Yarrowia lipolytica: one gene and its partners. Each later gene encodes a partner of the first gene's protein in a complex. Links are inferred from orthologs where the notes say so. Each region holds a gene or a part of one and is shown in the gene's direction. Other genes may lie near its edges.

Region 1 (2,959 bases):
GCTTGTGGCGGCTTCTCTCCACTGACTATTGTTGACATCCAGAAACCGTGGGGATGCCTGAATCTCGTCCTTGCTCTTTTTGCCATTGTCTCCTGCTCGTCCAAGCAGTCCAGGAGTCGAAGGAGGCGGTGTGGCCGACTTGCTGTTGTTCCGTCGTTTCATGGTCATGTTTCTCAAATAAGGCGGCGTTTGACCGGACGAATATGCCGCTTCGGTAGGGCTCTTGGGACTGTTCATTTCGTCTACTGGTGACAGAGCGGCTGTAGCGGGAGAGCTGGATCTGGGTGTCGTGGGGATAGACACATCCTTGGCGCTGTTGTTGCTGCTACTGTTGTTACTGTTGTTACTGTTGTTGGTGCCATGGCTATTATTGTTGCGAGGGCTGGCTTTGACCGGGAGATCTCGGTCGCTAAGATCTTTGAGGCTAGCAAGCGAGGTGAATGAGTTGCTGAACTGCCCCGAGTGTCTGAAGGGCGAGGAGGTGGCCTTTCGGTCAGGCACTGCAACAAATGAAGCCATTTTGGAGTCTGTGCGCAAGCCCGAATTGGCGTGCGTAGGCCCAGAACCCTCGCCGAGGTTCACCGGAGGCAGCAGACCCCCGGGCATTTTGTATTTCGAGTGCGCCTGGCGTCGGTACTCGGACATGTTGGGGGTGTGGATAGGTGTGGATCACTATCAGCGTGTTTATGCACTGCGATGTGGAGTTAGACTTTGGGCGATGGCATGTCGGGCAGGCGCAGTGGAGGCTATGGTGAGAGGTGGTTAAAAGTGACAGGGGCTAGTCATACAAAGTGGAAAAACGTCGGATTATGACCTTTACAATGTATAATTTGCACACCATGCCATTTTTGGTAGCATATATCAACACAGACCTCAACTCTGATTTATTGTACTGTATATATTACCATAAAAGTTCAAGCAAGTGTACTACGAGTAGGAGGGTGAACCAAAGTTTTGGATCATTTGAAAGCTGACCAACCAGTGAGACTTCTCCGTTACCGGACAGTAGCTGAAGTAATGAAGATGTTAGCTTGTGTATAACGTGTGAGAAATAATTTGAGAGCATACCTACCCAATTAAACAATCAAGACCGCCCGTATTTCCTCCTCCTCACACTTGTCTTCTAAACACGTGTTTGGCTTCAGGGTATACGCCACTCACATCTATGCCCACATCGCCACTCGACACATCTTCTGTTAGTTAGGATTGTGTTGCATCCATCGGCGTTGGAATATAATGCAAACCTTTGCCCTGCCATCTACTGTAGCAGTTTGTGTTAATATAGCCGCCGTGGGCAATAAATTTATGAATCAGCCAGTCGCCCGGTCCTTTAACTAATCATCAACTAGCATATCTTATTACTTAGCGCCATCAAGTTTCGTTGACGACATTCCACATCTCGGACACTGACTCTTCCAAAACCCAACGAATGAAAAACCAGATCCACGGATTAAACACCACAATATCACATGTACTACCAATACCAATAGACAGACAATTACTGCACAATAAATAGAACACCCTTTGCCTATTGTACCGCCTCCCGCCTACTCTCTCTCCCATCCCATCCCCCATTACATAATTGTCCCAACCAGACCTAACCCTGAAAAACTTAACCGACACTCAGGTGTGGTGAAATTTCGCATCAAACCACACCGACACAGCACACGATGATTCCTCTTCGGACCCTGGCCCCACGAACACTGCCGCGAACGGCGCTTGTGCGATTCAACTCCACTTTCCGACAAAATGAGCTAGGCAAGATGTCCCAGGCCTCAGTGGAGTCCCAGTTGACCCCCAAGGCCCAGGCCCTTCGACAGCAGCTGTCTGATGATCTGCTGGTCCCCAAGCAGGGCACCTACACCCAGACCGAGCACAAGATCTACGAGGCCAACTCTGAGAGACCTCTGCCAATTTCTGCTCTCGCCAACTACTACGGACCTCTCAAGGTCAAGATTCCCGAGGGCACCCCTAAGGTCAAGTGTGCCGAGCTCCTCTTCAACGCATACTTTCACGAGGACCTAGAGGTCTTCACCGAGTTTGCCCAGCGAGCGGCCTACTACCTGCGAATCCCCGTTGAGGGACCTGTGCCCCAAAAGACCCGATTCAAGCGATGGACTGTGAACCGAGCAGTTTTCGTGCATGCAAAGTCCAAGGAAAACTTCGAGCGACGAACCCACGGCCGAAAGCTCATTCTCAACAACGCATCCCAGGATACCATTCAGGTGTTGGTGCAGTTCCTCTCGCAAAACAAGCTGGCTGGTGTCGGTATGAAGGCCAAGCTGTTCACCCACGAAGGTCTGCCCGAGTCTCTGGACCAGCTGGACGCCATGGAGGTGGATGAGGTCTCCAACGAGGCCGTAGAGGCCCGAGTGCAGGAGATGCTCAAGGAGTTTGATGCCGAGGAGGTGGCTCAGGAAAAGGAGGCTGACCAGACCCAACAGCTCCAGAAGGAGTAATGTAAATAGTGTATATATGAATAGTACGGTTGAATGACAGACATGTAGATGGAATGAGTAGCTCACGCGTAGTTTATGGCTTCAAGTATCATCTGAGAGGCCGCTTCAATAGTGCACGAGATAGCTTTACGGAGTAACATACTAAGTGAACCAGTTGTGTTTGGATTCTTAAAACAGCTGTCATAAGCCACATGATGTCAAAGTGACAATAAAAACAACCTGAAAGCATCAGACAGCCTTATTGTTACCAATTCCAAAAAAAACAAAACTTCGTTTCAACCCAGAGAAACAAAAAATGATTTGACGACCTCGGAGAGGGTCGAACTCTCGATCTTACGATGGCGGCCATTCAGGTGACTAACAGTCGTACGCCTTAACCAACTTGGCCACGAAGTCAAATCTTAAATTTGTTAGAACCCAGGCACTGTGACTAAGCAGACTGATGACTCAGCCGGGGTGGCCATACCGAAGGTATGGTCACTGCCGTCACTCTCAAGAAA
Region 2 (2,608 bases), on another chromosome or scaffold:
TTTTGTCCCACCTCGACTACAAGACTCTTTGTGCCGCATCACAGGTTTCAAAAAGCTGGAACTCCATTGTTGAAAGCTTGGGCGCAATCTGGAAGGGTCTTTCAGAGAGCCACCAGGCGCCCGTTACCGATGCTGACGTTGCCAGAGCTACCGAGCAAAAGTGGGACTATACCACGTGGGGGTCCGAGGACACCGATCCTAGCATTGTCGAATCCACTCCTCTGTACAGCAAGATCAACCTGTACAAGAGCATATACCGTCGAAGACATCTTATTCGTCGCAACTGGATGGATCCCAACTCCACACCTGACTCCACATGCATCCGAACTGGACGGGAGGCAGTCATTACTTGTCTCCAGTTTGATGATGACATCATTGTCACTGCCAGCGAAGACCCTTGGATCAACGTCTACGACACTAAAACTGGCCGTCAACGAAGTCGACTCGAAGGTCACACTGGAGGAGTGTGGGCTCTGCAGTACGTTGGTGATACATTGGTCAGTGGAAGTATTGACAGAACTGTTAGAATTTGGAACATCAAAGAAGCACGATGCACCCACATTTTTACAGGTCACGTCTCTACGGTGCGGTCACTAAGCATCCTGACTCCTGTGCCAATGAGCCATGCAATGTGTGCTACTGCACGAACGGAGAGCACCGACCCCGATGAGATGTATCCTTCTCGACCTCTCATTGTTACTGGATCTCGGGACAAGACACTGAGAGTCTGGAAGCTTCCTCTTCCAGGCGAGCCTGAATGGCTGGATCAGTCCACTCAGGATCCCTACTTCATGAAGTCACTCCAGGGCCACTCTAATTCTGTTCGCGCCGTTAATGGCTACGGTGACACTCTTGTCTCTGGATCTTATGACACTACTGTGCGTGTCTGGTCTATCAACACTGGAAAGTGCAAGTTTGTACTTTCTGGACATCACAAGCGAGTATATGCTGCTGTTCTTGATCATCAGCGTAATCGATGCATCTCTGGGTCGCTTGACTGGAATGTGAGGGTCTGGTGCCTTGAGTCAGGATCCTGCCTGTACACTTTGGAAGGTCACACCTCGCTTGTTGGTCTCCTTGACCTCAACCGATCTTGGCTCGTGTCGGCTGCAGTTGACTGGACCCTTCGAGTTTGGGACCCCGAGACTGGAGGCAACATACATAAGCTGGAGGGACACGCGGAGGCAATTTCTTGCTTTCAGCACGACGAATACAAAGTTGTCAGTGGTTCCGCAAAATGCTTGAAGCTCTGGGATATTCGTACTGGCAAACTTGTGAAAGATTTGTTCACGGAGTGTGAGTCAATCTGGCAAGTGCGGTTTAGTGGATCCAAGCTCGTCGCAGCTGTCCAGAAAGACAACGAGGCTTATCTCCGAATCCTGGATTTCGATTATGAGCCAGGAACGAAGACTGAGAAAACGGTCTACGTTGGAAATGAGGATGACATCAAGGTCGAAGACGAGCTTGACACCGCTGCCGCTCCTGATGTAGCTCAATCCTAAGTTTCATACAAGCTACATGGGCATTTACATTTGCCCACCCATATATTTAATTAACAGGATATTATTTACGATACTCGTATCACATACCTTCATACAGTAATTCTGATGGCTGTGTTTTCAAATGAGCTTATCGGGTCACGTGTGTTTAAGGTTTCAATGAGATGTTAGCTTTTCAGTCCCAAATCACCACAACACAACTCGCACCACGATGAACCCCATCCGGCCCAGCAAAGAGCGACTTACCTCGTTGGCAAAATTGACTGCCCAGGTTTTTAATCGGTCTTACAACCCCGAGAACCTTCGACGTGGCACTAAGGCCCTCCGGGCACCGCTGATTGGCGAGCAGATCAAGAGCTACTACCCCACAAGCGACTTCAGCATGAAGAGCCTTCGAGAGGCCATGCCCCAGTTTGGTTTCGCAGACTACACTGAGTGGTACCGACTTACCAACGTTGTTCAGTGAGTATTAGATCCTATTGTATAAAGGCTACTAGGTACACGCACAATCGTGGTTCAATTATTAACAACAGGCGAAAGAAACGAGGAAAGGGAGCCCCTAAGAAGCTCACCGAGAAGAAGGCGGCCGGTGGAAAGAAGAAAAAATAGGCATGCTATTAATTTATACTGCCATGTACATAGACGAAATACAAAGCACGTTTACTACGGTGTATATGTTTCGATTAATTTCAACATTTCTATAAATTATGTAAGTATATCCATGGTTAGATGTAGTCGTGGCTATCGTCGTCAAGTGTTTCATCCTTCTCGTCATCTTGCTCTGCACGTTGGTATCGGCTAGCTCGTTTGGACAGAGCTCCACCCCAAACGGAGTTCTCAAACGAGTCGATGAGCTGGTCTTCCTGTCTGTGGATGAGGTTCAAATCAGAGGAGTCTTGGTCCTTGAAATTGTCACTGTCGCCTGATACGCGCCGGTCCCACATAGAGTTCCTGTCAATGTTTGACCGTTCCGAAGTCCATGAGAAACGGCCAGAGCTGCCAGCATTCGGGTTCGGTGTCATTGGGTCTGTAGACAGGAAGTAGTCTGCTGGAACTGGAACACCATCAGGTGTTGTAGGTACCTCTTCCACATCGAAGTCCGCCGTTTT
Region 3 (2,578 bases), on another chromosome or scaffold:
ATGTCTCGGGAGTCTCGAGGTGGGGGTCCTCGGTAATCTCGGGAAGGAGGGTATCGCTCTCGATCCCGATCATCGTACCGGCCACCACCGTAGCCACCTCGCTCTCCTCGGTATCCAGCACCGCCACCAGGGGCGCCGCTACCGGGGAATCGGTCTCGGTCATCATACCGGGGAGGAGGGGGTCGTCGGTAGTAGTCCTCTTCGTATCGACGGTCGTCGTATCGAGAGGGGGGAGGTCGTCGGTAGTCGTATCGGTCTCGGGAGTATCGATCGTCTCCGTATCGTCCTCCACCTCGGCCACCTCGTCGGGCCTTGGGAGGTCCAAAGTATCGACCGGGGGTGGGGGTTCGGGCTCGCTTTCGCTTGGCCTTCTCAATGGCAAGAGTCTTGCCAGCAAGCTCATGGCCGTTAAGTTTGGCCAGAGCCTCGTCGGCGCCCGTAACGTCGGCCATCATGACGAAACCAAAGCCTCGGGACTCGCCAGAGTGGGGGTCCATCATGATCTGGCACTTGAGAACCTCGCCAAAAGGCTTGAACAGGTCCTCAAGCTCGGTCTCATTGACGTATCGGGACACGCCAGTGACGAAGAGATTGGTGCCCTCGTTCTGGGCGTCAACATCGTCGTCGTCATTCAGGGGCTCCTTTGACCGTCGGTCCAGGTCTCTGTCGTCTCTGTCAAAGTCACGTCGGTCGTCTCGACGGTCAAGGTCGTCCCGGTCGTCCCGTCGGTCGAGATCGTCTCGGTGGTCTCTGTTTTCGTCGTCCCGGTCATCTCGACGGTCGAGGTCGTCTCGGTCTCGCATGCTGTGGTCTCGGTCGTCGAGCTCTCGGTCGTCGTGGGTGTGCTCAACAGGGGCACCAGCCTCGTCGTCATCACGACGGGGAGACACACTTCGTCTCTCGTAGGTCTGTTCAGGGGAAGCCGAACGGTCTGTGTTAGTGGATGCGTGTGGGTGGATTGGCGTGATGCACTGGTGCCGAATACAGACACTTGTGGTGGACAGATGCAGACCGAGCCCAGCACAACCTCATGGCGAACAAAATGGGTAGACAAATATGGGAACAGCTCCAACTGGACCCGTTCTGTGTCCTTGAAACAGGTTCGGCGCAATACACCTTTGCAGCGGGCACTTGTCGAGTGTCTCTTCTCTTCTCTTCTCTCATTCTGTCGTTGCGGTTGTGCTAGTATTCTTGTTGGGTGGAGAGCTCAGTATCTTTGCCAACAGATATAAGATACGGCTTGCGGTTGCTCGTGTGCGACAGTGCACGCCGCCTTGTGCGCTCGCAGGTATCAATTACTCACTGTATTCTTCGTCGGCCATTTTTCGTGTCTGAATAAGATGTACGAAGGGGTCTTCTGCCCACTGACTTTTACATTTCTGACGGGGGTTACCCGGAAGCCACACCCAACTATATACTATACATACACACACACACACACACTGGGTGGGTCTCCTTGGGAGTTGGGTCTCTGGGCTTACGGCCGGGTAACACTGAAATTTGCATGCAGTGCCACTATCTCAAAGCTTGAAGTCAGCAGTTTCGCGATCTCGAACTACACAAAATGCTTCGATCTCTGGGAGCTGCCCTCACAAACGCCCGAATGGGCATGGCTCGTCTGCCCTGGACAGCCTCTGCGCTCCCCAAGCCCACAATGAGCCCCACCCTGGCCGCTCTCACCGTGCGACACAAGACCATCAACCAGATCCAACGAGACGGAGGCCGACCTGTGCCTTACCGACGAAAGAAGTCTCCCGATCTCGAGTCGTGCCCTCAGCGAAAGGGCGTTGTTCTGCGAGTTCTGATTCTCAAGCCCAAGAAGCCCAACTCTGCCCAGCGAAAGGCCGCCCGAGTCCGTCTCAGCAACGGCAAGGTGGTGACCGCCTACATTCCCGGAGAGGGTCACAACGCACAGGAGCATAGTGTGGTCTACGTCCGAGGAGGCCGAGTCCAGGATACTCCCGGTGTCAAGTACCATCTGATCCGAGGAGCCGGCGATCTCGGAGCTGTGCCCAACCGAGCCAGCTCGCGATCCAAGTACGGAACCAAGAAGCCCGCTGCTCCGGGCGCCTAATGTATATAGTAATGGAGCATCAGCTAGCGACACGTCGTGAGCTGTGTATGTGATGGTTTTCGGGATGCGGTGATTCTGTAAATAATGGGATGTAGAGGAGGTTCCAGTGAGGGACTTACTGGAAGCAGAGTCGTAAAAAGGTGCTATTATTGAGTAGTTGCACAGTTGAAGTCGCTTATCCTGTGACAATGTCATGTTCCGGATTATTCTCCCGAACACTTGCTATCTGGGATCATGAACGTGGTTATCCTGGTCAGGACGGGAAAATGGCCTGCTCATCTACAAAGTCATCGAGCCTGGTCATATTGATTTAAAATACACGTAACAATCAAACTCTTCAGAGTGGTTACCGTACCAGTACCCACGCCAATCTATCTCGATAATGCCTTCCATACACCTTCACTACAGTCAGTTGTTATTCATATCATATTCATTACAATGGTACATGGAGACATACCGATGCATAGCTAGTTCCGACCGTTAGATGAAGAGAAGTCAATCAGC
Region 4 (3,337 bases), on another chromosome or scaffold:
CTTTGACGCCGAGAACCACAAGAACAATCTGATTGCAGACGAAACCAAGTTCCAGCCGACTTCGAACTACCTATCTCCCAACGTTAAGTACCTGTACAACATCTTCCACCCCTCAGACCCTATCAGTTATCGAATCGAGCCTCTGGTTGACAAGCTTGCTGCCTTTTTGCGTCCTGCCAGTGTTCCTTTCACCAAGTCTGGTTTCTCCACTGAGTCCATTTCCAACCTCGGTCGTCAGGTCGCTGAAGGGGCTCAGCAGATGTGGAACACCATCTACACGAGTGGAGAGAGCATCACCCAGAAGCTGCTCAATGCCGCAAGCTTCCTGGAGCAACAGAAAGAAGAGGAACGAAAAGAGGGAGCAGGAGAGGAGAAGGTACAGCCCAGCCACGAGGGTGCCGAGTTCCCCTCGACAAGTAGTATCTCCAAACGGAAGCTGACTCCCGAGGAGAGACAACGAGTGATCACCAAGCTGGGGGCATTGTCAGCCACTGGACGAATTGACTATGCTCTTCAGGAGAGTGTGCTGGATCTGGGATTCATTTCTGCCATTGCATCTCACATCAGTTACCTGGAAGATGAAGATGTGGCAGCATTTGTGCTGCAGAGACTGCTGGAAGAGCAGAAGGATTTGGAAAATAAGAGGAAAGCCGAAAGCTAGACAACCCAACAAACATTCATTAGAACTACAGCTTGTAGGGATACATTAATTATATCCATTTATGTCACGGCAGAGCCAGTAGCAGAATACACCGCGTACAGTTCCAGCCAATTATTTAACAAGGTTGGTCAATTTTCGCAGGTAGAGAATTTCCAGTCTCCCACAAGAAAAGTCAGTGAAATCTGGTATAGATATGAATGGAATCCCCTACAATTCAACAAGACTGGCGGTATGTTTCATAATGTCTGATTTCCCAATTCCTTGTTTTTTTTGATCGAATTTCGCAAGATCTAACAGCACTGCAGTTTCCCCCACAATCAACTCTAAGCCTACAGTGTACAGTATGTTTATATGTACAGTACAGTAATACTGAACGCAGAACTCAACTTTTCACTCATCAAAATGAAGGAAACAGGGACCAAGGAGGAGATTACACAGGTGAGTATTGACTGCCTTGATTACACCTAATGGCATATGATACATATGATGATGCAACACAAGTTGGCCTCGCGATCAACGACCACGCCACTAGACGATACGCGTGCACGCGAGTCTCTCGGGTCTTATTTATTCTAACCCAGCGTCTCAAATCTGCGATTTGGATAACTGTGTCGAGGATTGTGACAGAGCAGACGCGTAGCGTGCCTGTGGACAACTCCTTTGTTGATGCGTTGACTGAGCTCGTGTTTGAGCAGGCAGTGACCCTGGGGGGAGATCTGGAGTCGTTTGCCAAGCTCGACAACCGGGTGGTTATCACCATGAGGGACCTTGATATGGTATTGAGACGAAATGAGGGTCTGAAGGAGGCTGTTTATGCGTTTCAAGGGTAGGATAGGGGGTATTTATTGACTATTTATTTGAACATTTGAACATTTGAACATTTTGATCAAGTTGAGCAGAAATGCGAGTGATCAAGAGGTGGAAATGTCTCACCTTGGCCATTAATCGAACGCAGTGGACATTCTAGTAAGATTATTTTCATTTATTGACCAATTTAATGTCTGATACATTTTATTCACATTGTTCTGAATTTCCATGGGTTTTTTGCCCAAATCGAGACCCGTCACGGTCTCGAATTCAAGATAACCTTACACTATATGATCCTGACCAAAATCGAACCGGCGAGCTTCCTCCATGCAAAAGTCTAATTCTTGCACCCATGAAATTTCTCAATAGGCGGAAACTATCACCAGATCACACATCACCACAATCACAATGCTGCGACTAACTCGATCGGTGAAAAACCTGAGTCTGGGCGCCGTGCGGTTCCAGTCAACACAGGCTCCTCGACAGCCCAAAAACATGTTTGTGCGAGAGGCTGAGCGGGCTGAGCGAGACGCACAGGAAGCCCAGAAGTGGAGAGGAGGAAAGAAGCACCTGAATTTTGGTGTGGACATGAGCATCTCCGAGACACCTCGCGGCGCGGCCGAGAACGTGCGAGTTGCCCCCGCAACGGCTCTTCAGTACACTGGTCGAGGAGCTCATGAGCAGACCATGGAGGTCGTGAACCGAGTCCGACGTCAGTACGAGTTCCTTCCTAGAAACCGAGAGGGTGTTTCTCCCCCTAATTTCGTGACCCGAATCACTTACCTGACCATGCTTGGTTCTTCCGAGCCCGTTTCCGGCCCCCAGCATACTGAGCTCACCAAGGCTCTGGCCGATCTGTACTACATTGACAACCAGCTCAAGCCCCAGGTGGTGAAGGATCTACTGCGTCGATTCTCGCGAAAGATTGATACCGACGCAGAGTCCGGCGAGATCGAGACTCTGGACGAGCAGGGACGAGCTGTGACCCGAGGTCGACGAAAGACCTCTTCTGCACGAGTCATTGTCACCAAGGCTCCCGAGGGAACCGTCGGTGAAGTCCGAGTCAACGGTCTGTTGCTGTCCCAGTATTTCAAGGAGCTTCAGCATCGATCCGAGGTGCTGTTCCCTCTGTCGGTCGTCCAGTCCGAGGGCAAATACAACGTGTTTGCTACTGTCCTCGGTGGAGGCAACTCTGGCAAGGCCGGCGCTATTTCTCTGGGCATTGCTCGAGGCATTATTGTCCACAACCCCCTGCTCCGAAAGCGACTGTCTAAGGCCGGATGTCTGACTCGAGACGCCCGTACCAAGGAGCGAAAGAAGCCTGGTCTCCGACGAGCCCGAGCCGCCCCTACCTGGGTCAAGCGATAAGAGACGAGAACTGTATATATTTGTCTTGTGGAGACGCCACTTGGCTGCCTTGAGCAGAACGATAGGTTGTCAGTGGTGGTTGCACTTGGCCGTTGTTGGTATACCTGTATATAAGATAACGAAGATGTTTGATTGAGATGGCACGAGTATGCAATAGTCTTACAGAAAGAATACGTCTGGCAGCACACAATTCTGCCATTACAGAGAACCTAACTCCTATGTCATTCTCTGACCAATGATCTCGCGACATACCTTATAGATATGTTCCTTGATTCATTTCATCTTCTCAAGATTCCCTGTCATCTATATCATTACAATCTATAGCTACCACTGGCACATACCGTGGAACTAGTCAGTACTTGTGCCTTATTTGGGCCTGGGGATCTCTGTGACGAAGACCTGAACCCGCTTTTGGAACACTCGCCACCAATCTGAACCCGCTTTGGAACACTCGCACCAATCTCTGTCCGCTATGCGTGTGACCATGTTTCCAAGGATGAA

Evidence for each region.
Region 2: YALI1_F30106g (region 1) and YALI1_E18326g share a complex: the UniProt entries of both Saccharomyces cerevisiae proteins name them as parts of the mitochondrial small ribosomal subunit. The link is inferred for Yarrowia lipolytica from reciprocal best matches to the Saccharomyces cerevisiae genes RSM10 and RSM27.
Region 3: YALI1_F30106g (region 1) and YALI1_A03402g share a complex: the UniProt entries of both Saccharomyces cerevisiae proteins name them as parts of the mitochondrial small ribosomal subunit. The link is inferred for Yarrowia lipolytica from reciprocal best matches to the Saccharomyces cerevisiae genes RSM10 and MRPS12.
Region 4: YALI1_F30106g (region 1) and YALI1_B08193g share a complex: the UniProt entries of both Saccharomyces cerevisiae proteins name them as parts of the mitochondrial small ribosomal subunit. The link is inferred for Yarrowia lipolytica from reciprocal best matches to the Saccharomyces cerevisiae genes RSM10 and MRPS9.

Annotation. Positions count from the first base shown.
Region 1 is NC_090775.1:3,009,331-3,012,289, reverse strand, and holds YALI1_F30106g (mitochondrial 37S ribosomal protein uS10m), read left to right. Parts: upstream 1-1,670; coding exon 1,671-2,459; downstream 2,460-2,959. Other genes in the region: YALI1_F30116g (uncharacterized protein), read right to left, coding at 1-645. UniProt on the Saccharomyces cerevisiae protein: Component of the mitochondrial ribosome (mitoribosome), a dedicated translation machinery responsible for the synthesis of mitochondrial genome-encoded proteins, including at least some of the essential transmembrane subunits of the mitochondrial respiratory chain.
Region 2 is NC_090774.1:1,830,950-1,833,557, forward strand, and holds YALI1_E18326g (uncharacterized protein), read left to right. Parts: upstream 1-1,710; coding exon 1,711-1,961; intron 1,962-2,032; coding exon 2,033-2,108; downstream 2,109-2,608. Other genes in the region: YALI1_E18303g (uncharacterized protein), read left to right, coding at 1-1,502; YALI1_E18378g (uncharacterized protein), read right to left, coding at 2,225-2,608. UniProt on the Saccharomyces cerevisiae protein: Component of the mitochondrial ribosome (mitoribosome), a dedicated translation machinery responsible for the synthesis of mitochondrial genome-encoded proteins, including at least some of the essential transmembrane subunits of the mitochondrial respiratory chain.
Region 3 is NC_090770.1:338,686-341,263, forward strand, and holds YALI1_A03402g (mitochondrial 37S ribosomal protein uS12m), read left to right. Parts: upstream 1-1,564; coding exon 1,565-2,074; downstream 2,075-2,578. Other genes in the region: YALI1_A03396g (uncharacterized protein), read right to left, coding at 1-931, 1,304-1,322. UniProt on the Saccharomyces cerevisiae protein: Component of the mitochondrial ribosome (mitoribosome), a dedicated translation machinery responsible for the synthesis of mitochondrial genome-encoded proteins, including at least some of the essential transmembrane subunits of the mitochondrial respiratory chain.
Region 4 is NC_090771.1:817,475-820,811, forward strand, and holds YALI1_B08193g (mitochondrial 37S ribosomal protein uS9m), read left to right. Parts: upstream 1-1,876; coding exon 1,877-2,836; downstream 2,837-3,337. Other genes in the region: YALI1_B08156g (uncharacterized protein), read left to right, coding at 1-661; YALI1_B08186g (uncharacterized protein), read left to right, coding at 1,129-1,491; YALI1_B08207g (uncharacterized protein), read right to left, coding at 3,148-3,297. UniProt on the Saccharomyces cerevisiae protein: Component of the mitochondrial ribosome (mitoribosome), a dedicated translation machinery responsible for the synthesis of mitochondrial genome-encoded proteins, including at least some of the essential transmembrane subunits of the mitochondrial respiratory chain.